Linked DNA regions of Oreochromis niloticus. The main gene of each other region encodes a partner of the protein of the gene in region 3 in a complex. Links are inferred from orthologs where the notes say so. Each region holds a gene or a part of one and is shown on either strand. Other genes may lie near its edges. The genes, in order: lin7a, lin7c and apba1a.

What was found.
Region 1: apba1a (region 3) and lin7a share a complex: the UniProt entries of both Homo sapiens proteins name them as parts of the brain-specific heterotrimeric complex. The link is inferred for Oreochromis niloticus from reciprocal best matches to the Homo sapiens genes APBA1 and LIN7A.
Region 2: apba1a (region 3) and lin7c share a complex: the UniProt entries of both Homo sapiens proteins name them as parts of the brain-specific heterotrimeric complex. The link is inferred for Oreochromis niloticus from reciprocal best matches to the Homo sapiens genes APBA1 and LIN7C.

The regions. Positions count from the first base shown.
Region 1 is NC_031981.2:15,758,584-15,766,531, reverse strand, and holds the start of lin7a (protein lin-7 homolog A), read right to left. Parts: upstream 3,229-7,948; 5' UTR 3,128-3,228; coding exon 3,091-3,127; intron 1-3,090. UniProt on the Homo sapiens protein: Plays a role in establishing and maintaining the asymmetric distribution of channels and receptors at the plasma membrane of polarized cells.
Region 2 is NC_031965.2:17,987,373-17,996,146, forward strand, and holds the start of lin7c (protein lin-7 homolog C), read right to left. Parts: upstream 3,596-8,774; 5' UTR 3,419-3,595; coding exon 3,382-3,418; intron 2,457-3,381; coding exon 2,338-2,456; intron 1,417-2,337; coding exon 1,345-1,416; intron 1,196-1,344; coding exon 986-1,195; intron 1-985. Other genes in the region: neurotrophic factor BDNF precursor form, read right to left, coding at 6,686-7,516. UniProt on the Homo sapiens protein: Plays a role in establishing and maintaining the asymmetric distribution of channels and receptors at the plasma membrane of polarized cells.
Region 3 is NC_031977.2:993,395-1,001,704, reverse strand, and holds the start of apba1a (amyloid-beta A4 precursor protein-binding family A member 1), read right to left. Parts: upstream 3,655-8,310; 5' UTR 2,703-3,654; intron 2,684-2,702; exon of another isoform or gene 2,339-2,683; intron 1-2,338. UniProt on the Homo sapiens protein: Putative function in synaptic vesicle exocytosis by binding to Munc18-1, an essential component of the synaptic vesicle exocytotic machinery. May modulate processing of the amyloid-beta precursor protein (APP) and hence formation of APP-beta.

The DNA.
Region 1 (7,948 bases), on a different chromosome or scaffold from region 3:
GTGTTTACTGAGGCTGTATTCTCACAGATGTCTACAAAAGCAGTGTTTTAGACACAGCGTGGTCACCCCTGCTGGCTGGACATTCCAGACATTTTTTATAAAGTGAAGGACTTTAATGCAATTAAATGGAAGGACTACAATTCAGCAAATGAGCTTTATTAGTTCAATGTTTTCTGAGCTGAATTCTGGACCAGGCAGACCATTATAAAATAATGAATATGACTCACAAAAAAACAATCAGTTAACAAGTAACACAAAGTAACACACCAAACTGAAATGGACAACGTGGCCAGCATTATCCTGCCATCAGCGAGTAAGCATTTCACTGGAAACATGCAGGTTGCCGGCGTTGTCATGGTACTGGTACTAAGTTTCTGAACAATATGCAGTTTATTTTTTGAATATTCTATGTGATTCTTAGGTTCATAGTTATATTTACGTCATGTTTTAAGTATGCTTCGGTTAGCCTTTAGTTCTGTGTGGTGTTTGAGTTTTTTTCGCAGTGTCTAGTCTTCTCATGTGTTTAGTCAGTCTCGTCTTCATGTTTGTTTTTCTCTTGTCTCTGTGTCTGATGTTCCCTCTCTGTCTCCTCAGTCAGTCATCTCCCCATGTCTGTTTCTCCCCGGTCCCCGAGTCAAGCCTCTGTGGATTAGTCTTCATCTCCGTGTTTATCATACTTCCTGTTTTATTTTGACAGTCTCGTGTCTAGTGTACAGCGCGTTCAGTTTTGCTTCCCCTGTCCTGTTAGTCTGCATTAGTTCCAGCTGTGTTGCCACCTGTTGCCCATCCTCTCGTTATCCTGTGTGCATTTTAGTCCTCAGTCTTCCTCTGCTCGTTGTCGCATCGTCCACTCATGCTATCTTTGACGTCCTTGTTTCCTGTTCTCCTGCTTCTGGGAGTTTCTGGTTTTTTGTATCCTTGTTTTTTCTTCAAGCATTCAAGCTACAGCATTGTCTCTGAGTCCTGCATTTGGGTCCTGCCACCTAGCCGTACCTGATAGATGTTTAAATTTATCTGTGGAAGTTTCAGTCACAGTGCCCTCTGCTCTCACTGTTTCATACAGAAAGGTTTTCATCTCCGGGGTGTGTCAGTTTGCACTTACATAAATGCCAGATCTACTGAGAATAAAAGGCTTCTTTTTTTATTATACAGCGAGGTTCAAATCCATTGTTCTCGACGGTGCTTGCTTATCACAGTCATTTCCTTTGACAATAACAGGAAGGCCAATGATGTAATATCTTTTCATCCTGCTGTGACCCCGCAAGCCAAGTGGGAGCTCTGGAAATGAACATCTCTGTTCCTTTTCTCCCTGCGTGCATTTGACAAACTCAGCAACTCGGCAGCAAAAGCCTCCACCCAGAAACGAGAGGAGTGCACCTTTTCATTAGCAATTATAGTGTTTTCACCAAAGTGGCAGGATCCGAGGACAGGAAGCCTATAATGTTGCCTGCCTCTGACAGCTCCTGCGTGAAACTATCATTACTACTGTTTGTGCCATTACAGCTGCATTTTCCAGCTTGTGGGTATGGATCAGGCCCCGTGTGTACACACGAAGGTCACAGCTGAGTCACTGCCCAAGCAAATGACTAAGATCAGACATGGCTGAATGTTGACAATTTATCAAGTTGCAGGACATCGCTCCTTGCCTTGCTGTTTAAAAATCTATTTATCAGCTTAGCAGAGCCTCTTTTTTAAAAAATAAATCTATAGTCTACTATGAGACATGGGTGGGAAAAGCTTAGGTTGCATTGTTTATCTCATTGCCGGATTCAATCTGTGGCTCATTTCATTAACTCTGCATGTACAGCACTTCTGCAGCTTCCCAGCAGATTGTGCACCTGTAAAGCTTCACTGCCCTCAGACATTAAATTTCATTGAAGAACAAATTGAACATATGGAAGGGAAAAAAATTGTGTTCTTTAGCAGTAGATGTTAATGTGGTTAATTACTTAAATCACCAATAACGAGTGACATCAGTCAGATTAATCCCTACAGAATAATTAATAAGAGTATTTATATAAGTCCCTCGTGTGGCTTGGAAGGAGAGCTGACGCTGGCTTTACTTGGCACAGAGTAAAGCGTTAAGGTGTCTCCTTTCTCTCCTTTCTCTATATTTGACAGTATCCATTCCCTATGCAAGGCTTGTGCAATATTACATTTCACCAGCGGATCTGCATTTGGTCTGAATATGCGACTCCTTTAACATAAAAGTGTTGAGATGTAAAGGGCATCTTCTCAAGTGTACAGGACATTCTGTACTTCCTCAAATCTCCCAGAGGAATTACTATATTACGAGAGACCTTAGTGTATTTTAAATATCTGTACAGCATCTTTAGGTGGGAAAATGAACATTTTATCAGCCTACATGCATTATTATTGTATCTTATGAATGAGATCAGGGGACTAATGTGTGTCTAAGTTACAAAGTCTGTAATTACTAACAGCTCTTAACAAAACAGGCTAGGCAACATCATCACAGGACAACATTAACCCTCAACTGCGGTTTGTTTGCACACCGCTTCCAACAAGTACAAAACACAACATCTACACCCTGATGAGGGAACCAATCAGCCAGTCTTGCACCTGTCCAGTTCAGATAGCCTGAGAAGTTATCTCCCGTCTAACAAAGTAGATTTTTCGTGTCAAGGCGCTTTAGGATTTGAGCGTTATTGTCTCCGCCAGATGAAGATCAAAAAGCGAGCTTTAACGGGACAATGTTGCCAAAGGGGTTACATAATACAGATGAAATTAAACGAGACCCCTTGTAAGTGGTTTAAGGGTATTAATTTCCAGATGTTCGTGCTCGCAGAAACCCCCTCGGTAGTTTGACGAAAGAACTGAGCGCTCCGGTCTGGAAAAATACACGGACGGAACCGACGGGCTTTTATTTAGAAAAGCCAGAGCTCATATTGCCTTGAAATAGCGACTCGCGCAGACGATGTGTAGGAAATCCGAGCTGGACAAACACTCACCAAAAAACAGAAAACATCAGAATCTAACCAAATCCTCGCTCAAGTTTTTGGGGGAAAAAAAGGCTGAAAATAATCTCTCCGGTGACATGCACAGAATGCAAAGCTCCGATCGCCTTACCTCGATCCAGTGTGAGCGGTTGGACCACTGTCGCCATGACTGCTGTTTACTGGAGACTGAAGAGCCTACAGGAGCTGCAGCATCACAGGGAGAGAGAGAGAGAGAGAGAGAGAGAGGTTGGGAGTGGCTGGGAGAGGATTAGACTATCTCCATCCATCTCCGTCACCCGGTGCTGTTATCAGCTGTTTTGCGCTTTATGCGCTGCTGTTTTACGCTCTTAATGAAAAATAGTATTCACGGGGTTTTTTTTGGCTTTTTAAAAAAAAATTAAAAAATCATTTGGATAAAATTAATTTGATAACATATAAAAACCAAAAAATACACTAATTTTTTAAAATTCTTTACATTAGATCAAAAATATATTGTCTACAAAAAAAGTGTTGGAAGCTCTTTAAAACTGCACTCTTTCTAATGGCCAGCAGGGGGAGACTCTTATGGTTGCACCAGTACCTTGGCTTTAACTTGTGATCTCAGGAAACTGTTTCCCGATGAGTTTATGGTCGCAAATGCTAGTTTGGGGCCTCACTGAATACACCATAATGTTCGATTGAATAACTATGGACTTCTTTAGATTAAAAAGGTAGACTAAAGCAGGGTATGTTTTACAATGATTTACAAATCACTTGCCTATGAGGATGCAGTGTATCTTAGTGTCACATATTTCTCACATCTGTCTTGATGCATGCTCAATCATCCAGGTAAGTAAATCCCAAAAGGTTGATTCTGTTCATCTGGATGAAAACGCTACGTCCAGATGAACAGAATCATCCTTTTGGGATTCCTCACATCTGGTTTCAAAGCACCTTCGTGCTTTACAACAGGGCTCTGAGAGGTCACAGTGGCTAGATTTATCTTTAATACACAATCTTTGGATTAATCATGTGCTGTATATAAAATATGGACTTGTGAAAACTTTGCCATACTCTGCACTTTTTCTAATGGCCAACAGGGGGACAAAACGTCTGATCATATAGCACTGCAGTCTGACAATCATATGATTCGTTTCGTTTTGCAAGCTACATTTAATTTGAAAAATTGAGTTAATGTAAGCTTATCTCAATGAATGAAATCAATAAATAAAAGACGTCCAGCTTTTCAGGAGAAAGAGTAATGTGGTAAGTTTAACAGAGAATGGGGTCATGTTGTATTCTAAGTTTTAATGTTGAACGTATTGTTTAAAAAACAGGATATAGGCCGCAGCTGTGATAACAGAGTTCCCTTTTCTTGATGGGTTTTCAGCAGCGTTTGGGAACTTAACTGCAATGTTCTACTCTTACGTAATCACAAAAGGTTTTGTGAAAAGCACTGGTCCTGCTTCCAGGCAGTCCAGTTCACCACAAAAGTGTTGGACAGAGTTACAGTCAGGACTCTGTGCACGACTCTGTCTTCTTGCATACCAAATAGGGTGAGCCATTTCTTAAAGAACCTGCCTTTGTGAATACTGACAATGTAAAATTGCCAGAGCACACCTCGTCTTTGAATTGATTTAAGTCCACATATTACTGAACATGTTTATTTTTTACAGTTTATCATAGCCATCTTCTTCCACTTATCCTATTCAGGGTTGCAGGGAGGCTGGAGCCTCTCATGGCCTTCACAGAGTGAGAGACCCTTTATTTCCCTGTAGGAAAAGCAATTCTTTGCATTTATCCCATCCTAAGTATTTGAGGCAGTGGGCTCATGGGATCAACTCCACGCTTCAAGCCTGTGCCTTGGTCAAGGGCACAATTACAAGAAAATTAACCCAGCATGTTTTGATTGTTGGACAAACTGGAGCAGTTGGAGGCCACGGAGGTGTGAGGAGAATAACCAAACACCACATAGAAGGGCATTACCTTTGCCATGATTCAACACTAGAATCTGAAGTAACACCTAGTCACCGTTACTACAAGATGATTTTCTATTCACTGCCGTCTACTTGACTCGACTCAACTTAAGTGTCTTTGATAAAAGCAGGCATCTCAAAGTGCTTTTGATGGCAAGCCCATAAATGAAATTATACGCAAAACTGACATTAAAAACATACATTACAACCTTAACAACTAAGCATAAAGATATAGCACTTCAGTACTTCAAGTTGAAAGCCAAATTAAAAAGATAGATCTTTAAACTCCTGAATATCGAGAGAGCTCTGCATGCTGACATCAGGAGTGTTACTCAGTTTAGGCTCATAAAAACAAGAGGTAGCCTGACTAGTGCTCTCATGGGACACATAAGATACCTTTTAAAAGAAGAGGGATGGCGGACCTTAGTCATTAAGCTAATAATATGTTGAAAAACAGTCAAAATTGGTATTCCATCTGTCACAGTAATGTATTTGAAAAGTTTCACCATATTGCAGTCAACCAGCTGGACCTGGATTGCATGCTGAATCTCACAATGATGCACACATGTGTGTTTTGTGCACACATGAACACTTACACAGCTATAATCCTTGCACTTCAGAGATCAGGTGATTGCAACCAAGCTTGCCATGAAGGCTCATTGTGAACCACTGAGCTATACTGCCTGTTATCTTCTCTCCTGGCTACATGCACTGCATACAGCCAGATAAGGACCGAATGACGGTAGTGAACCTACGTTGAAGGGCTTAAGAATTAATCCTCATGTTTATGTGCTACCACAGAATGGTGCCAAACCGCTGGCTCTCTTCATTTACTGTAGATCTGTTGCCTAATGGCGCCTGCTGCTTTGGCGTGTCTCATACATGGGCAGTCATTACAGCTGACAGAAGCCATGCTCAACAGAAATAAGAAGAGATTCCCAGGTTGGAGGGATGCTAAGGCAGCATGACGTGTCACATGGCTCACGAACCGTGACTTCGCCATGACAAATGCAAGTTGTAAACATCAATACACACCTGAGGCAAGGACTAGCACTTATACTAACATGTGCACAGCTGTTCAGAGCAAAACCCAGGCTCATAAACACAGACATTTTACTTAAATCCTATTTATCTTGTCATGCATTGCACTAAATGTTTTAGTCTACACCCAGCTGGGAGGCAAATACTACACCTCTTTACCTCACTTCACTTCAAATTGGCTGCTATATCTAAAAATTGTAATAAAATGTTTAAAATGTTTAATGTTTTAAATGTTTAACCGCTTCCTCTGCATTTGATTTAAACAGTTTCTAAACTTGCATGCTTCTTCAAATACATAGTCCATAAGTAAAAGCGAATTCAGTCCACCAACAGTCCCACCCAGCTGTGTGCAGATGCAAAATAGTGGTGAGTGGTAGGCTGCATGGACGGATAGAGAGGGCGAGGGCTTAGAGAGCACACAGAAAGAGGGCACAGCGAGATTACAGGCTTCCATCTATATGGGCTGGAATACAGGTCTGCTTTTTTTAAGAGGTTGGGATTATGCCGCACTGGTCTTTAAGCCACAAAGCTGCAAGTGAATTGATTTCTGAAATGCCTCCACTTCCACGGAAGGAGATGCAAGAGGCCATGTGGACAGGGCAAATACAGACGGCTGGACTGTTTGCCTAGCAGATCAAAGCTCAGAGCATTAGCCAGTGTGCAAGTTCTATTTGTATCTTCAATTCCCATCAGTACCCATTCAAATTGAATTCAACAGGTAAGGTCATATGGACATTTGGGGAAAAATTGGAACCTTATTCCTTTTCCTGCAACACATTCATAAAAAAGATCAATATCACTCACATGGCTTTGATAAAAGGCTAATAAAATCCATAAAGGTTAGATTTTGTTATGTTGACACAGGAAGAAAAGCTTTTCTAAAACAGTAGGGAAATAAGTAAAGTATTTCACTAAATGATAACATGGGTTTCATTTCCAGGTAACAACTGCTTATTAAAACAGGCCATTATTAAATTTGTCAACCATCGATTCCAATCCTTGTGCCGCACTGACTGTGATCCATCCGGCATGCCACAGTGGGAAAAAAAAAGATGAAAATTTCCTGTTGAGCGATAACGTCTCGAAAATAAAGTATTTATTGGATATTTTGTGTTAAGATGACAGGCTGCTTTTCCACAGCAGCTCGGTTGCTTATATTGCTCCATCAGGCGGTGCCAGACAGATAATGAAAAAAACATCATCTTGAAAAACATGTGACAGATAATTCTTTAAAATTGTATTTATATTTTAACGAGACAAGTTGATGCAACTAATTTCCTGTGTATGAACAACCAAGTGAAGGATGGTGATGTGCATCCGCTTCTCCAGGCTGTTGTGTAAACTATGAATCTCACATTTAAAGTTTTGTTTTAAGGCAAGTCAGGATGCACTTTTGTGAGTGGGTCTCAAAGTTTGGGCGTTCCAAACTTTGGATGTGTGGATAACCAGGGGGGGAAAAAGAGTAGAGTACAAAAACTCACCCTTGTTTGGAAATAACCATGAGTTTGTTAATCTACTGTTCTGTTGTTCATATGACGGAACCTCAGCTTTCTTCTTTATTGTTAATATCTGCTAAGAAAAAAGACCCAAATTATGAGACATTTACACTCAATGGCCACTTTATTAGGTACATCTATTCAACTGCTCATTAACACAAATATCTAATAAGCCAATCATATGGCAGCAACTTATTGCATTTAGGCATGCAGACAAGGTTAAGACAAAGTTAAAACTAAGCATGAAAGAAAGGTGAAAGAAAGGTGATTTAAAGTTACTTTAAATGTGGCGCGCTTGTTGGTGCCAGACTGGTTGGTCCGAGTATTTCAGAAACTGCTGATCTACTGGGATTCTCCCCCTAGATCCCCTTCCTTGATTTCTGCTGCATCATTCAGATGGTAGGATCAGAATTTGGTGCAAGCAACAAGAAAGCATGGATCCATCCTCCAACAGCTCAGCCTCTTGGTTGTGTCTGATGGTGTGGAGGATATTTTC
Region 2 (8,774 bases), on a different chromosome or scaffold from region 3:
AATGAGGGAACAAGCTGAGCAATAAACAAAGTCAACTGGATGATTGCTATTGGCTGATCTTTGAGATTTACACTTCCAGACAATAGCATGGCACGTTTACATTCAGTGTTCCATCAGCACTCACTGTGTCCATCTTTAAGCCATAACAAACATGTTGAACACATTAACATTTCCAGAGCTTTACAAGAGGAACCTGACACATTCATTATTTACATCAATATACTATTACTACCATTATTATTACCATTATTATTATTATTATTTCTAAACATACAAAATTGACAGCTTCCTGTCACTGACATAAGGAAATGTTTTTCCATCGCACCAAGAAGACGCCAAAGACTCCACAGGGTTTCTGAGGTTTTTTTTCTGACAGCTGCTTCGTGCCAGCTCACTGGTAATATGGATTACTGAAGAAGGTTTAGCTGGTAAATGGCCATCATTGTCAGACTCTATGGCTAATAATCAACCAACATGATGATGTAAGTCTGAACATAAAAAAAAGCACAGGTGAGCACAGGCAGGGGATTTTATTGATTTTGTTTTTTGTTGATGCAAATTCCACTGATTGAATCCTGTCACTCCCTATGATGGACAAACTGTTGCCAACAACTCCAAGCTACAAGCTGATATCTTCTTATAGCACTCCCCTGTTTACTAGGCTTTAATAAGCTTCATTTTAAGGCACTACTAGAAGAGTTTGACGAGTGGGAGAGTTGTTGACCTGCCTTACAAGTTCTCATTAATAAATTATGGTGTAACAAGTTCAGAAACAAGGATTTTACAAGTAGATGGGTCCCCAGATTTTTGCACGGTTATTGCAGTTCCTTTTTTTTTTTAAATCCTGAAACAAAATCTAGCTGTGCATTAGTTTTTTTGAAGAATGTATTATTTCTAATATCTGCCTGTTTAAAAAAAAATCTGAAATAGAGAATTTGCTCAGGCTCAGTCTAAAATGTAAACCATGCTGTGAATTCAAACGCACCACTCCATTCACTGAGAGAAGCTGGTCCCCTCTTTTCAGGCCTCCATGTCGGTCAGCGATGCCTCCTGGGATGATCCGTGAGATGTAAATTGGTGAGTTTTGCTCCTTTCCGCCCATTATATTGAAACCCAACCCTTCTTCTGTCTTGGGCAGTTCCACAACTCGTGGATGTGAGTGTCCCTCACTTGCTGCAAAAGCTGCCACTGTAGCCTACAAATAGGAAAGTGGTGTTTAGATATCTCGTCTGTATGTACTGCAGTCAAAGCACAAAATTACCCATTTTAAGAAATTAAATGTCTGAAATTAAGATTACAAAAAGACCAAATCTTGTGTTCAGACAGTAACTGACAACTGTCTACCTTTGCTGTGGCATTGGCCCTGACCTCGGGGCTGCTGTTGATGTCCACTGTTTCATACACATGCTCATAGACCTGAGGAGACATTAGTGGACAATATTTCAACAGGCGAACACAAAGAATTCAAACCAAACCAAAGGGTTAACTTTCTATAACCATAACAGCTGTGGGCAGCCAGCATATTTCTACGACTGTCAAAAACACTTTTGTACACAGTATACTTTAACAATTTGAGTTAAGTCAACACTTAACAATAAATCAGGGGAAAAAAGAAATGGCTGTGCAATTTAAGTATTTTGCAATATTTTACATTTTATTTCACACTATGGCTGACGTACATCTGTAAATAGTGATGGTTGTCAGTCCACTATTTACAGCGTTCGATCACATCAATTTCGAGGAGGCTGCAAAGCTTTGTAAAAGGGGACTTATATGATGTGAAAATGTTTATCAAAGGGAAAATGTGATTTTTCAGACTCTCTAGCTTAACGTTATCTGGTATAACACTAGCTGTTGTTCTTATAGCCGTCTGGCTATCAGCTGTCCCAAAGCGGCAGGGCCACATACCCAATCTGCTGATGATAACTAAATGTGATATTATCGCGAACGAATAAGTATGTTTATGCACGTTTTATTATGTTAGAGTCTCGATTTCAGTTGAGGAGATGAGGCGTGAGGTGAGGAAAAAGAGAATGAGTTGGAGGTTAGGGAGCAGAGAGGAGGGGTGGATGTGCCAGATGAAGAAGAGGAGGACAAAGAGGTAATGGTAAAGAGATGTTGAAAACATAAATGTACAAATCTTAAATGGTCATATATAGCTAGAAAGCGCTATTAGTGACCTTAAAATTTAAACTAACTTTTAACCAGACTTCCACTCTCTTAATTTTGGAGCATTCTATTGGGAATTCTACTGGGATGCAGACGGTTAAGCTCCAAACTGTAAACTAATGTCTCTTAATTAAGTGTTTTGAATGATACAAGATGAAAGAGACTCACTTCTCTGACAGCATTACAGAATTCACTCTGTAGGACCCTCTGCAGTGCCTGCAGCTTCTGGGGAGGCACTTCCCCTGTCCTCTGGAGTTTATCAAGCAATTCAATAGCACGGTTGATATCTGTCAACAAGAACATGTACATAACCATTACTGAGGCCTGCAAATGTAGATGTTAACATTGGCAGTGAGAGTTACCCACATCAGCGTCAGAGCACAGTCGGCACCCATTTAAAGCTGCAGCCTTTTTTTTCTGTTACAATTTACATTTACTTGCACTATATTTGTTCTTATTATAGATATGCTCCGGACAAGCTTGTCTCCCACGGTCACCAGAACATACTACAATTAGTACAAATCGCTATAATGCAATAATAAAGCAACTCTCAGAGTAACACCCCTTTTATAAAGTAAATTTAACCACCCCTGACGGGATGAGGCAGCAGGCATCACGTTTTTGTTTTTTTTATTTTGTTTTTGCGAATGTACAGCTTACTTTAATAGCAATGAATTCATAAGCATTTGCAAGTTTATTAAATATTTCTAATCGTGAAGTTTTACGTGTGTACTTACTTGTGTAACCCGTAAGTTTAACCTAACACACAAATCTGGGCTTCCTCTGCACATTTCAGCAACACACACCCAGAACTTATGTTATTTACAGACAGGCCGCAAAAATTAATATAATGATACAACCAGCGTAACTGTAAAATCTTCTTTCTTTTATGGTAAGATACAGTGAACAAACCAGCCAGATTGGCTAATCACTGTCTGTTGTCATTAATATTAGCTAGGTGGCTAATGTGCTAAGTACAACAATGTAGCTGTAATAGCTGTGGCTTCTTTAGCTGGGTGACTATATATACATAATCATACAAGAATTAACCGCAAGATGTCTACTCTATCGTTATCCCACCATAAAACAGAGTACACAGACAAAAATAAGCCGCCTGCTTTAATGAGCTAATGCTAGCTAGGCTAGGTTTATGTCGCCCGCATATCACAACAAATATTTTTAAGCTAAAGCTAGCTAGCTAATTAACTTCACCTCTTTCCAATCGCACGGGCTCCCCAAGCGATGCCATTATTGAAATGAGAGGATGTTTGGCGTTAGGGAGATAGTTCGCTAAAAGGAAAAATACTGAAAACTAAGTTTGGTAATCCTGGCTGGCGTTATGTGCGCTTAACTGAGACGATAAATCAGATTAGCCAAGTTAGCCGGCTAGGCTAGCTGCCAGTGTCATGATGCGTTCAGGGAAACCTCGTAAAACTGTGAACTCGGAATGTTCAATCACATTTTAAAGTCACTGCGTTTGTATTTGTTACTTTATCCTTTTACTAGACGACTACTGGTGTAAAACTATGATATATCATACATACATAAGCCACATAGATTTACCAATATTCCACCTCGCTTTAGTGTACAAATGTCCTTTCTTTAATTCGTCCAAACGTACACCTTAGCAGCTTCAAATGTTGGATATTAGTAATGCCAGATTTAGTTTTAAGCACAGCGGTTTGATTTTATTATGTTTACTGCTGATGCTGACAATGAGAGTCGGGATATTTTTGTGCCATGCATATAGCCCACTGAAGGTCTCGTTGGCTAGAATCCAAACCCAGATTCCATATTACCATTTAACAACCCGAGGGGTGGAGAACTCCATTTAACATCTTCGCTCAGCCTCCACAGACATAGCTCAAAGGACGATTACATTAATATGTACTGCCACAACAAGGGCCAACCAGAAGAAGGTTTATTTGGCTTTTTGTTGACGTCTGATATGAGCGCTCTCTCTGCCACCCCCTACTGGTGAGCTGCATCACATTTTGAGCCTCCATGAATGCAGAAAACTGCAGCTGCACTGCTTCTCTGTATCCTGAAACTTTAGAGCATGATTCACTCCTGACCACACCCCAGTGGGTGATGAAACGCAAATCTTTTGACAGGTGATGAAAAATACCTAATGTGACATCACGAATGTGGGCGTGGCATAAAGTAGACACGCTTAAAGACTTGGTGAGCAGCAGCTTTTGTTCTTTTCTTAACACAGTAGGCCCATTGTTTTCCTAAAAGATTGTAGGATTCACTCATATGCCTGATTTATGGTCACACTGAAAAACACCACGGGCTTCACCCTGCCTCCCTTTATGCACTCTTTTATTAAATGTATGATTGGCAGATTATTTTTTTGAACTTTGTAAAAAATAGTAGCCTAAGGCTCATGCTCATGATAAACAAAACACATCCTTATCATCTTATCTAAAATGTTGAATGGCTGATTCATTGTCCTACGTGCTGAGGACGGGATAGTGCTTGAATTTTACCAAATCATTCCCATTTATACCTTCAGGTGGATTTTCCTTGAAGACCAGATCATTTATGATATTGTTCGTCTTCCCACTGTTTGTGTTGCAGAAGCCTCGGTATCTTTTTTGCTTTTAATGATATTAACTCACAGCATCATCATCAGGCTTCTGTGAAGGGTCCAAGCAGGGAAGTGAAGAAACTGGCCCATCTTTCCTTCACCGTCTTCAGATCTGGCTGTCTTTGCACTTACCTTCAGGCTGATGGAGGCGTGGTAAAATGAGGTGATTGTGTTCATTCATAAGGGATCGCTGGTGTTTTGAAGAAATTTTGTTTATGCATTTTTGTTGTTTTTAATCTTTCTGCAGTATGTTCTGGAAATGTTTTATGTAACGAAGATGAGACGCTGAACATATTTTATTGTATTCCCACTAAAACCTTAAGCTATGGAATCCAGACTTGGCAGGCATGCATTGCAATGAGTTATTATCTGCCCGAGGGAGAAAGTTGATATAAAGCCTCGGCAGTCTTTTAACCCAGGTGCCAAACCAGTTATGGAGATCGGCTTCTCCTTCTGATCACAGTGACTTTAGAGCTAAAAAAATCAGTGGTGATTGTCCTATTGTGGAGGAGTTAAAGCTGGGATTACAGCGCACTAATAACAAAACGCTGGGTGTACATTTTTAATGTACACAAATGTATGGGTGGTTGAATCCATCACTGTCAAGCTCAGGCAGTCTACCCACTTGTACTAGTCTGCACTTGAACGCGTAGGCCCTTTTCTTGTGTTAATAGGGTCTCGTAATTGTGCGACATCACACGTGCAGCTGGAGCAAAAGCTCTGAACACCTGTGTATGAACACCAAAGATCCAAAGCACATAAACTTGTGTTGAAAAAATGTGCTGGTGGGGAGCAGGAAGCGGTTTAGGGGCACTTCCTCTCTCTTTCTCCGTTTTCTTTTCCTTCCTGAAGTAGCTGAATGACACCAGGAGCTGCTTTCTGTACTCTAACACTGGTTATCTGTGAGTGACCCAAAGCAAGGACTCATTTTCTTATCTTAAAACATCACTTCTTGTTGCTCAGGATTTGAATTTCTGCTCTTTCATGCTTCGGACATGTGGCGGTTTGTGCGCATGCATGTGTGCATATGTGCCTCCTCCCTCCTTGCCTGCCGACTGTCCGTATAATAAAGTTTACCCTGCCTAAAAATGCACCGTTGAAACTTTATCGACATTGATTTTGTTTTTCAGTTGCCTATAGTCATTTTTATTTCTTCAAATATTTCAGTTTAATATTGCAAACAACTTCACAACATACAAAATGAATAATATTAACCCAGAAACATGTCAATGAATAAATTTTATATATATATATATATTTATATAATTTTTTATATATATATCTTGTCCTCTGGTGGGGATAAAAAAATAAACAGCAAAGCTTTGACAACAGCACCTTGACATAGTATGTAATTCCAACATTACCTTGAGAAGTTTAGAACAGTAAACAGATAAATTACTTGAGAGGAAATTGTTTTCTGCTGAATATGTAAACGGAATGTTTTTTTTATTATTTTTTTTGGTCAGCATCATATCCTTTTTTTTCTGTAAGTGGAGAATTTATCGATTCACAATTGAAGCAGCATGCAAGCTTTTGAAGATGGAACTGTCCTCGCTCTCTCTCTCTCTCTGTCTCCCTCTTTGTCTCTCTCTCCCTCATTTCTTGCCTGTTAATTTTTTTCCTTCCTTTTCTAATTCTTGGCAACCTAAACAAATCACAATGTCTTGAGGAATGTGACATAGTAATTTAAACTGGGCGCAAATGACTGATCAGATTTTTTTTAATTGTTTACAAGGTCATGAATATGTTCAATAAATAGACTGTAGTATCACTTTTACTGTATAAACTTCATCTTTTTTTACATGCAGTCCATAAAATTTTCATTTGACGGAATAATTTACCCTGTTATGTATATATACAAATAGATATTTTCTCTTTATTCTCTTTTTTAAACTCTTCAATAAAATCTATACATTTTATACACTATCTCCCTCTTTTAATGGTCAATGTGCATACACATGAAGTGTCTATCCTTATAAACCGCCAGCCAATCTTCTTTTTGCTATCCATGGTAAGCGCTCGCACGTAGGACTGGGTTGTCCTGCATTGGGAATTATAATGCCGCTTGTCTATTCCTCTGCAGCCCTCCTTTGTGTACCCCATGGGGTTGCATTTGGTCTCATAAAAGTATTGCTTCAGTTGGCCATTGGGGACAGGGACCTTTTCCATGACGGTAACTTGCTGCCCGGACATGTCTATTGCCGTCTTTTTATCCACAGCTGTCACCCACTGGCTAATACTGTCACACACACTGAGCTCTCCACGTCGTGAGGGATCGGAGTGTCGCCGCACCCTCATGGACATATTAGCGGCATCCAGATAGTTTTTGTATTCCTCCAGGAGAAAGAGCAACGGCGGCTCCAAAGGCACTTGGTTGCTGATCATCACCCGCGAGTTGTACAGATCGACATCCTTGGCCTCCGTGGTGACTACAGAGGATGGGCCACCACCTCCCTGGCTCTTATCGGCCCCCTGTCCCAGCTGCGCCGCCTCGCCCTCCACCTCCAGCAACTCCTCTATCACTTGCTCAAATGTGTCTGTGAGCGAGGGCAGTTCCCCGCGCTGGCCTGGCCCTCCACCGCTCTGGGGAGTCCCGTGGCCTCTTTCGGCCGTTGCAGCAGCGCCCAAGTAGCCTTCCGTCCGATGGCCCCGCATGCCCGGGGCATCTCTCAGGGGCGCAGCTCTCATGCAACTGAAGTATGAAATAACCATAGTAAGGAACAGGATGGTCATCACTCTTCTAACCTGGTGGAACTGGAGGGACGGGAGAGAGACACAGAAAGAAAACAAGAAGAGAGAGGAGGGTTGGGGGAGGGCGAGAGAACGAGATGGTCAGTCAAAGAGCATCTTCAACAAAGTTAGCTTATTTTTGATCCATAATGCACCACGTAAGCCTCTCCTCCTATTTCCACCCTCCACTCTTTGTTTGCGAGCCAAAAAACTGGAGCCAGTAGCTTCGGAATAATCACAACATGTTTTTATTAAACTGATATTGGCACTGTGTCATCGGTGTTTTCAAATTGTTTGCAAACTGTAATCATTCTGTTCCTATGTGAGGTCTGGCTTAGATCTCTATTTGTTGGCAGCAATGCACAAAAGCTGTGCTGAGCATCAGAGCGGCTGCTTATTACAAAAGATAAGATTACACAAATAGATGTCGAAACATCCTAACAGCTTTTTGACTGGTCTGTTAAAAAGGCACGGTGCCGTGTATATTTATAATGGCCACACCTGCCAATCATGGCTTTCTGTTGGAATAATTGGCTGTTTTTCTTTCTTTTTTTCCTTTTTTTTGGCTGTACTGAAAGCTCACAGCTGCCCCCCTGCTTTTGGGTAAGGAAATTGAGGATTTTCATTCTTAAACTTCATCCTGTAGTTGTTGAATTCTTGTGGATGGATTTATGCCCGCCCCCCCAACCCGCGTTACGAATACGCGACCGTGACGTTACCGTACAAACAAATCACCAGTATTAACACTTCGGGAACCTCCGGTGTGGACAGCACTTCCTAACAGAGTCAGTGTGTTTGTGTCAGCGCTGGCAAACACTGATGCTGCAGTATTACTTTATTAAAAAGAAAAAAAAAACTGGTCTGTGCTGTAGGACGGGTCAGGTACTACACCTTGTAGTCATGAATGGGAACTATGGGTTTGTTGAGGGACACTGTTTGTTTTCGGCAGGTGGAAGGCGAGAGCACTGCGGGATGAATTAACAGGAAACTGAATGACAGAATGATGTGATATCCTGCCGTGCAAAGCACTGCTATCGAGGCTCTGGAGAACAACTCAAAACATATGCAAAACCAAACTGAAACACTGTACATACATATTGTAAAATTACCTGAGCATGTGTGCGTCCCTTACCTCTGAGAAGCTCTAAGATTCACAGCAAATCAATGAATCCAAAGGACATAGATTTAAAAACACCCATAATTTTTTAAAAAAAGAAAAAAAAAATCTAGATCTTGCCTTCCACAGGGGCTCATTTAAAAATAGCCTGGCCGAGGCTTTGAC
Region 3 (8,310 bases):
CGGGGAAAAGCCTGTTCTAACGTTTGAGTCTAAGGTTTATTTTTTAGCACCTGGCGGCTCTTTTTTGCTTCTCATCCGTTAATACTCTGCATCTTTCACGTGACTCGTTTTATTTTGAAAAGCCTCAACAGGATCTTGAGCTTTATTGTGAAAGGTTTATGTGGAAAATAAACAAGCGGACACGCCGTGGTTTTACTGTCGTTGTTGCTAACGAAAACGCATAAAAAACAAGCGCTTGTCCTTCCGTAGTGTGGTTATATTAAATATAAGAGAAAGAGAGAACTTTAGGAAATTAATATAGCCACTACAGTGACCATCAAAATGATGAAAAAATATTGCCGTAAACAGTTTATTTTGCGACACCACGAAACAAACGATAGCGTAAAATGAAACGATAGACGTTTTTCTATCGTCATCCGATATATATCGTTATATCGAACAGCCCTAATCTAACCGGTAACAATACCTTACTCTGTTTGGGACTCTTTGCTTTGGCTGTTTCTGCCCAAGTACCTGCAACACTCAGTCACTGAAACAGTTTGAAGGAGCTAAAAAGGAGCTATACTGCAAACATTACATGTCAAAATGTTATACTGTAACAGTAAGCATGGAGGATGTTCTATCAACACCACTTTTCATCCAGGTTAGTGCAGTTCAAAGAGCTTCAAAATCCAATAAAATAAAAACAATCTCTAATTATATAAAACTATAATAACTACATAAATATAATTAAGCCACTTAAACTAAGAAGGTGTGACATGAGTAAAAGCACATTGTATGTCCTACCACAGCTCGGTATCTTTTAAACCTTTATTTCAGAAATATCAGAAATTCAGGCTCCTCGAGCCTGAATACACCACAAGTCTTTTCCTCTGGTAATCTTGTCACGCAACCCAAAGTATGCTGAAAAGAATCCAACACCAAAAATAGAAAAGTACAAGAAGTTTTGTTGCCACTGGTAGGGCTGTGCGACATGACCAAAATCTCATATCCCAATATGACATTTCTAATCCCGATAACGATATACATCACAAAATAGTTTATTTTCTGTAAATTCAGTGAATCTCAGGCAACTCGACTTGCATGAAGTGTTTTCAGCTGGGCGTCGACTGTAAGCGCCATTTACCTTATGTTTTTCTTTGAGGTCATTTGTTTGATGCGTATTCTGAAATTTGATGTTTGAGAATAATGTATATCATTTCAGTTTATTTTGAAAAGTCTCAATGGGATTTTGAGCTTTACAAGTTCAAAGACTGAACTTGTCTGTCTTATTTGGAACGGTTGCCAGCTTAGGTGTGCAAAGTTGTATCTGGACAAACCAAAAAACATCTGGAACATGTTCCTTGGACAGACAAGACTGAGACGTCTGACCACAATGAGACTGCTGTGCTTGGCGGAAACCCAAACAGACCATCAGAGCTACAAACATCTGTTAGCAGCTGTCGAGCATGGTGGAGGAGGGGTGATGATTTGGGGTTGCGTTGCAGCCATACAACCTTGGTACCTTAGTCATTGAGTGAATATGATTCACTCAATGAATATCAAAGTATGACAGTCAGATAAGAGATCGTCTATTCAGCAGCTAAAGCTTGGCCCAAATTGGGTCAAAGACGCTGAACACACCAGCAAAATCTGCAACAGAATATCTGAAAAAAAAAAAAAAGAATCAAGTGTTGCAACATGCCTAAGTCCAGATTTCAGATCAATACAATGTGTGCATGAACAAATGACTGCACAGCTCAACAAACTGAAACAACAATGTGAAAAAGAGTAAGCTAAAGTTCCTCCTCAACAATGTGAGCAACTGACAAAATGATACAGAAAACAATTACTTCAAACTACAAAGTGCCTGTACACACTATTAATGATACAAGTATTATTCACAGCAGTGCACAGTCAAAGTCCTGCGGGAACTTTTTTCTTACATAAAAATTTGACACTTTCTTATTTGTTATGAGATTTGTGTTTGGGAACATCAGCCACCCCGGTGCTGGCCTCAGTTTGCCTCCTTATGCACAGACAGCCACACACACGTGGTTCCATGTGTGAGGACTATTGTACTTTAATATTTCAAACATCACTTTATCTTTTTCTAAAACACTACAGAAGTCGTTCATATGTTTGGTAGAAGTCACCTTCAGGAGGAATAAAGCAAAACTACCCAGATTTTCCAATTTCATCCAGATTTTCTGAATTTTCTACACAACCCCCAGCTTTCCTGTCATCAACTACATCAGCAAAACATCTGTTTGATTTCGGCTTCTGCTTTTACAAAAGCTCAGCTGAAGTCCTGCTTTGAATGAAGCACGCAATAAGAAACATCGAGAAACGATCTAACCATCGCACCGAGCTGGATGGACCGGTTAGCCCCGCCGTGGCTCTGCACCTGGAGACAACAGGGCCTCTATGTGCCGATTTATTCATGTCCGCTCTGCGTGGGTCCGACACACAGCCTCACAAAGACGCTGCCATTTCGGATTTTCCTTCACTCTGAATCCTGGTTTGACGTTTCATCTGCGGAGCGCAGTTTTCCGTCTAACCACTCCTCAGTGAACAGACCGCGTAGCGAAGCTCCACAGAACAACAATAACAATAATGATGATGATGATGATGACAACAGCCCAGCCCGGAGACGTTTGCTTTGACCGCATCTCGCTCGGTGGGTCGAGCCTACAGCGAACAGCCTGGTCCTGAACACGAACCTGCTCACAGGAGTGATGTTGCTAAAGGATGCAGGTCCTCTGCGTTACGGCCACACCGTCCTCCATCTTCCCTGTAGCGGTGCGCGCGTGTGTGCGCGCGCGCGTGTGCTCCGCAGCCGTTCAGCACCTCCTTCCGCTCACCGCCACCGTCACATTACCATAAAGCACAACAAATAACAAAGTTTATACGTTTTTAAAAAGAGAACATTGTCTGGGTGAAAAAGCTTCATATAGTCACGCCGGTCAATATAAAATATATATAAAAATGTATATATATAAGTTTTAACGAACACCACTTGCTGGGGAAACAGTCACTAAACCACTGGAGTCTCTTTAGAGACGAACTGTGAAAACGCTGCACCGCAACGCTGTGCAGTATCACCGCTTTGCATTCTTTTGAATTATGTTCCGATTGATGGTCTGGCACCTCCTCCACAAGGATATCTTTAATTAAAGATGCTGCGCCTCTTTGTCACTGTGCTTTTATGTATTCTCCGTGAAAGCCTGGACTCAGCTGTAACACTACAACTGTAAGACCGACAGACTTCGTAACACTGATGTCTGCTTTTTCTTGTTTGGTGCTGATGGGTGTTTATGTTTGCTGATATACTTTGTGACATTTTTGTGATCTTCTACCAACAGACTATAGATGCAAATGAGCTTCGAGCTGTTTCTGACAGTTGGTGCTGTGTGTGCATGTGAGACAGCAGAGGTGTGGGTGAAGGAGACAGCTTCCATTCTCTGTTTATAAGGAGAGGCGAGCAGGCCTGTCTGTGCCTAATGACGTCCACGATGAGTTCAAAAACAAAAACAAAACAAACTACTTCAATGAAATAAATATTGAGTCATTACTCAATGTTATGTTACTGACTCGTAACATTTTATTAACACGTGTGCATGTGCCATATAAACTATATGAATTTATTATTATCATATCACCTCTCTGCCTTTAGTCTTGTTCATTACTGTTATTAGTTGATATTATTATTAGATAATATTAGTTAATAGACCTCTCTGCATCGAATCATATCTGTTATTAATCTCTGTCTCTCTTCCACAGCATGTCTTTATCCTGTTTTCCTTCTCTCACCCCAACCGGTCGCAGCAGATGGCCCCGCCCCTCCCTGAGACTAGGTCTGCAGGAGGTTTCTTCCTGTTAAAAGGGAGTTTTTCCTTCCCACTGTCGCCAAAGTGCTTGCTCATAGGGGGTCATATGATTGTTGGGTTTTTCTCTGTATTTATTATTGTGCGATCTACTGTACAATATAAAGCGCCTTGAGGCGACTTTTGTTGTGATTTGGCGCTATATAAATAAAATTGAATTGAATTGAATTGAATTAGAGAGAGATGATTTGTTTCATAGTGTCTAACAAGCTTCTAACAGCTTGTTTCTGCTCTCAGTGAAAATACTCACACTGTCTTTGTGTATTAAAAAAATTTAATGTTAATTTTAATTCAAAATAAGTTGTATAAACAAGTATAGCTCATTTCTACATTAGAGCACAAACATGAGTGAAAGATTCATTTCCACATATAAGAAGCTCTTCAGTAACACAATAAAGTGAAATCAAACTATCCAGTTATGAATTGTAGATTCATCTCAGCTAAATCAGTTTGCTCAGGAACAAATGAAACACTAAAATAAACCTAATACTGAATTATATCTCATGTTTAACTTCCACTGATTGGAGTGTATTCTGTGACGTGGTTCAGCTGACACCTCACCAGGTGTCAGCTGAACATTTTCCAAACAAATTCGCAAATAGGCAATGTCTTGATAATTTACTTTTATTTATTTATTTTTAATTAAAAAAGGGAATTATCAGAATCAGGATGCTTTATTAATCCCTGAGGAAATTCTGTTGTTACAGTCGCTCCAAGACAATAAAGACAGTAACAGAGAACAAACAACGCCACCCTCATGTGTGACGAGCAACGACAACACACAAAATCCTGACCTGAGTCATACCAGTCCCACAGAATATCAGGGCCCACCTCTCCACTGTCATTTTCTACCATAATTCTGTTGATTTCTTCTTCTTTCATTTTTCCTGTAAATTGTTGATTGTTTTAAACATCAGTATTCAGCCTCCATAATCAATTTCTTAGATTGTTATTAATTTGCAACGATAACAGTAGAGGTGCATGATCACATAAGTCAATAAATCAAATCACTTTTATTGTCACGTCACATGTGCAGGTACACTGGTACAGTACATGCGAGTGAAATTCTTGTGTGCGAGCTTCTCAAGCAACAGAGTTGTGCAAAAATACAATAACGTAAAACAAGCAAAAATATAAGAATGACTAAATCTGAAAGTAATAAATATATGTACAATATATAAGAGTATATGCATTATTGGATGTGTATACTAAATATGTTTTTCTACGCGCGCGCGTGTGTGTGTGTGTGAGTGTGTATATACATATTTTACAAATGAAATAGAGTAAACAATAAAATAAGATATATAAAATATACAGAGGTTGGTAGTCGGACATGTGCAAAACAGTGGCATTAATGTACAGTATGGAGTGCATAATGTTGAAGTTCCAGTAGTGAAGGTGAGGTGTCTATGACGTGTTCAGCAGTCTGATGGCCTGGTGGAAAAAGCTGTCTCTCAGTCTGCTGGTACGGGACCGGATGCTGCAGAACCTCCTTCCTGATGGAAGTAGTCTGAAGAGTTTATGGCTAGGGTGACTGGAGTCCTTGATGATCCTCCCCGCTTTCCTCAGGCACCGCTTCCTGTAGATGTCTTGGAGGGAGGGAAGCTCACCTCCAATTATCCGTTCAGAGCACCGCACTACTCTCTGGAGAGCTTTGCGGTTGTAAGCGGTGCTGTTGCCGTACCAGGTGGTGATGCATCCAGTGAGGATGCTCTCAATGGCACAGCGATAGAAGGTCCTGAGGATGCGGGGGCTCATGCCGAATCATCCTATTTGGCAGTTTGGTATTCTGTGACGGTCTCTCTTAAAATAAAAAATCAGTCCTGGAATACAGCACATGTGTGAGTGTAGCTGGTCCCTAAATCTCTCCTGAGGTTTATCACTCACTTATTGTGTAGGAGGGTTAAGGGACTGCTATGAAGGAGTCTAATCTGGGATTAAGCCGTATGTTCCAGTCTCCTCCACAAATGACTATACCTCTTGAACCAACCAGTAAATCAAAAATATTTCTGTAAAAACAGAAATCATTACCTGCTGGGGCACATACAGTCAAAAAGCTCATTTCCACTCCCTCAGTTTTCCCAGAAACTAGAACATACCGTCCATCCTCATCTGTAGTTTCTGCAAATGGTTCAAATGGGACTATATATAAAATCAGGATGGCTACTCCTCATCGATGACCAGATTTGGCGACTTTCGAGACTTACTTCTTACTTCTGTTAATTGGGGTCAGGATCCCATTTACATTTAGAGATATTACTTTGATATTATTTACACTTTGCACAGTTGTAATGAAATAAATGGAGCTCCAAGAAGCAAAAATATAGTTTTTATTGAAATAACAAGAATTACAAAATATTCTTGTGTTCAGGGCAAAACACCAAACTGAGGAACATACATTGAGATTTTTAAATTTCATAAAGATCACATAAGATGCACAATTACCTGAGAGATAAAATGCATCTGAAATATTATGTTGTTACAAACTTAGTCACTGCACAAGCAATGCGTACAATGTTTTCAGGTGTGGTAAACTTCAATGAGAGTCATCATTGTCCCGTTGCAGGGACTGGCTCCTGCAGCAGAGCGTATCACATATTATGCTCCAAATCCACTCGAACAGATTCCAGTTTTCGAGTGTTCTCAGGTTCCACTATCCAAGCTGCTTCTTTCCTCAAGTAAAAGCAGGTATGTGAACCTCAGCACAGTACAGCCCACTATGGTCCTGAATGTTGAATCTGCTGGTACCACATCACCGGGTAGGAGCTTGTGATGTGACCGTCTGTGGTCCTGCACCCCCCCTTAGAATCGAATAATATCGCTCCCGTGGGAATAATGCCTATCAAATACTTGATGGTACTGTGTGACTGTACTGGGAGTAAGTTTGAGCTTTGGCCTTGAAATCCTTGAGTGAAATCCGATGACTATTTCAAAACAATCAATAACTGAAATACATTTAGGAAAGTTCACATAGGCAGTGAAGGTATGTGTTCCCGCTCTGGCTAAATCAATCCAAGTGAAATGAAGCCTGTACAGAAAACATGAATCCAAGGAACTGCATGGTTGCTTTGAACCTGAGTAGTATGCAGGTGAGCAAGAACTGCTGAAAGGCTGAGATTGAGTATCCTCCAGGTGTGTCTCGATAAACATGAATACTTATATGTTGTAGTTGGGTAAACCAGTGAAGCATTTAACTTTATCTGCATCATGTATGAAGGATTCTTCAGCAGGAACATCAGTTGTTTGTATCGAGATGGTAAATCAAACCTCTCCGTCCTGAGATTTTGGGATTCTCTCTCTAATTGGTTGAGGTCATTTACAGTCATATCGTATTGAGTTGATACACTTTGAGAGTATCTAGAAGGAGAATCAGACACAGAGGGCACAGAGAGGTGGTCTTCTTCCTGTTGAATCTCCTGATCTAATGCGGTGTTGTCTTGCTGTCCAGATAAGCCAACAACAGCATGAGCTGCTCCTTGCTCATCATTACGTTTTTTTTTCTTCCAGGTCTGCCTCTGCTTGAATTTCACAAGACTGTTTTGTGCCCGTCTCTTCTGGGGTGACGTGACGTGTTTGAAAACATTAGTGACATAATCAGGTGAAAGAGGAGAACGCACAGGAATGCATGATGAAGTAAAAAAATGTGTTTAAGGAGAAAAACAGTTTGAAAATGTTCATCACATGGGTCGAACTGTAATCCTTTCCACTTGTGGATTACTTTAAAAATAAGTTTGTATTTGTTTCAGTTTTATCTATAAAATAATATCAAATATTGTGAATACAGTCACAGTATTGTTCCAAACTTATACCGTCAGCTGTTAGAGTAGATGCTGCACGCCACGCGTTAGATCCACCAACAACAGATTATTTAGCCTACAGTGTAAAAGTCTACAGTCCTCATTTAGTTACAGTTTTATTCCAAGGAGTGAGACTTTGTCAGTTTTAAAGAGCGTCTGAGCCGTAGCTCTCTGAAGGTCTTTCAAACTTTCCACGTGGTTATCATGTCCAGTATGGCAGACAGCTCTTAAACGACATGCCCATGACGTCATGTGTAAAACCTCTATAGCAACCATGGCAGTTTGTCTTGAAACGAACTGTAATCAGCGCATTTCAACTTCCTTCTCAAAAAAGAACGGATCTAATCTAAAAATTGGACTTTTTTCTCAAAATGACCCGTTATGTAGATTTGTCTTGACCCTAACACCCTCTCGTATTTATTACTTATTAGCATCTAAACACACGTACGTCTTCATTTGGTCCAGTTTGCTGGTGAATACCTCACACTGTCACTTTGAAACTGTTGTGGTTTTGGAAAGTAAAGCTTGACCTTCTCTCAGCATCCTGCTCTCTGTGACTGCAGCGGTCATGATGAACCGGCAAACCTGTTTCACAGCAAGTTAGTCAGTAGAATCAAACTTATGAGACAAATCAGCCTCATGAGAAC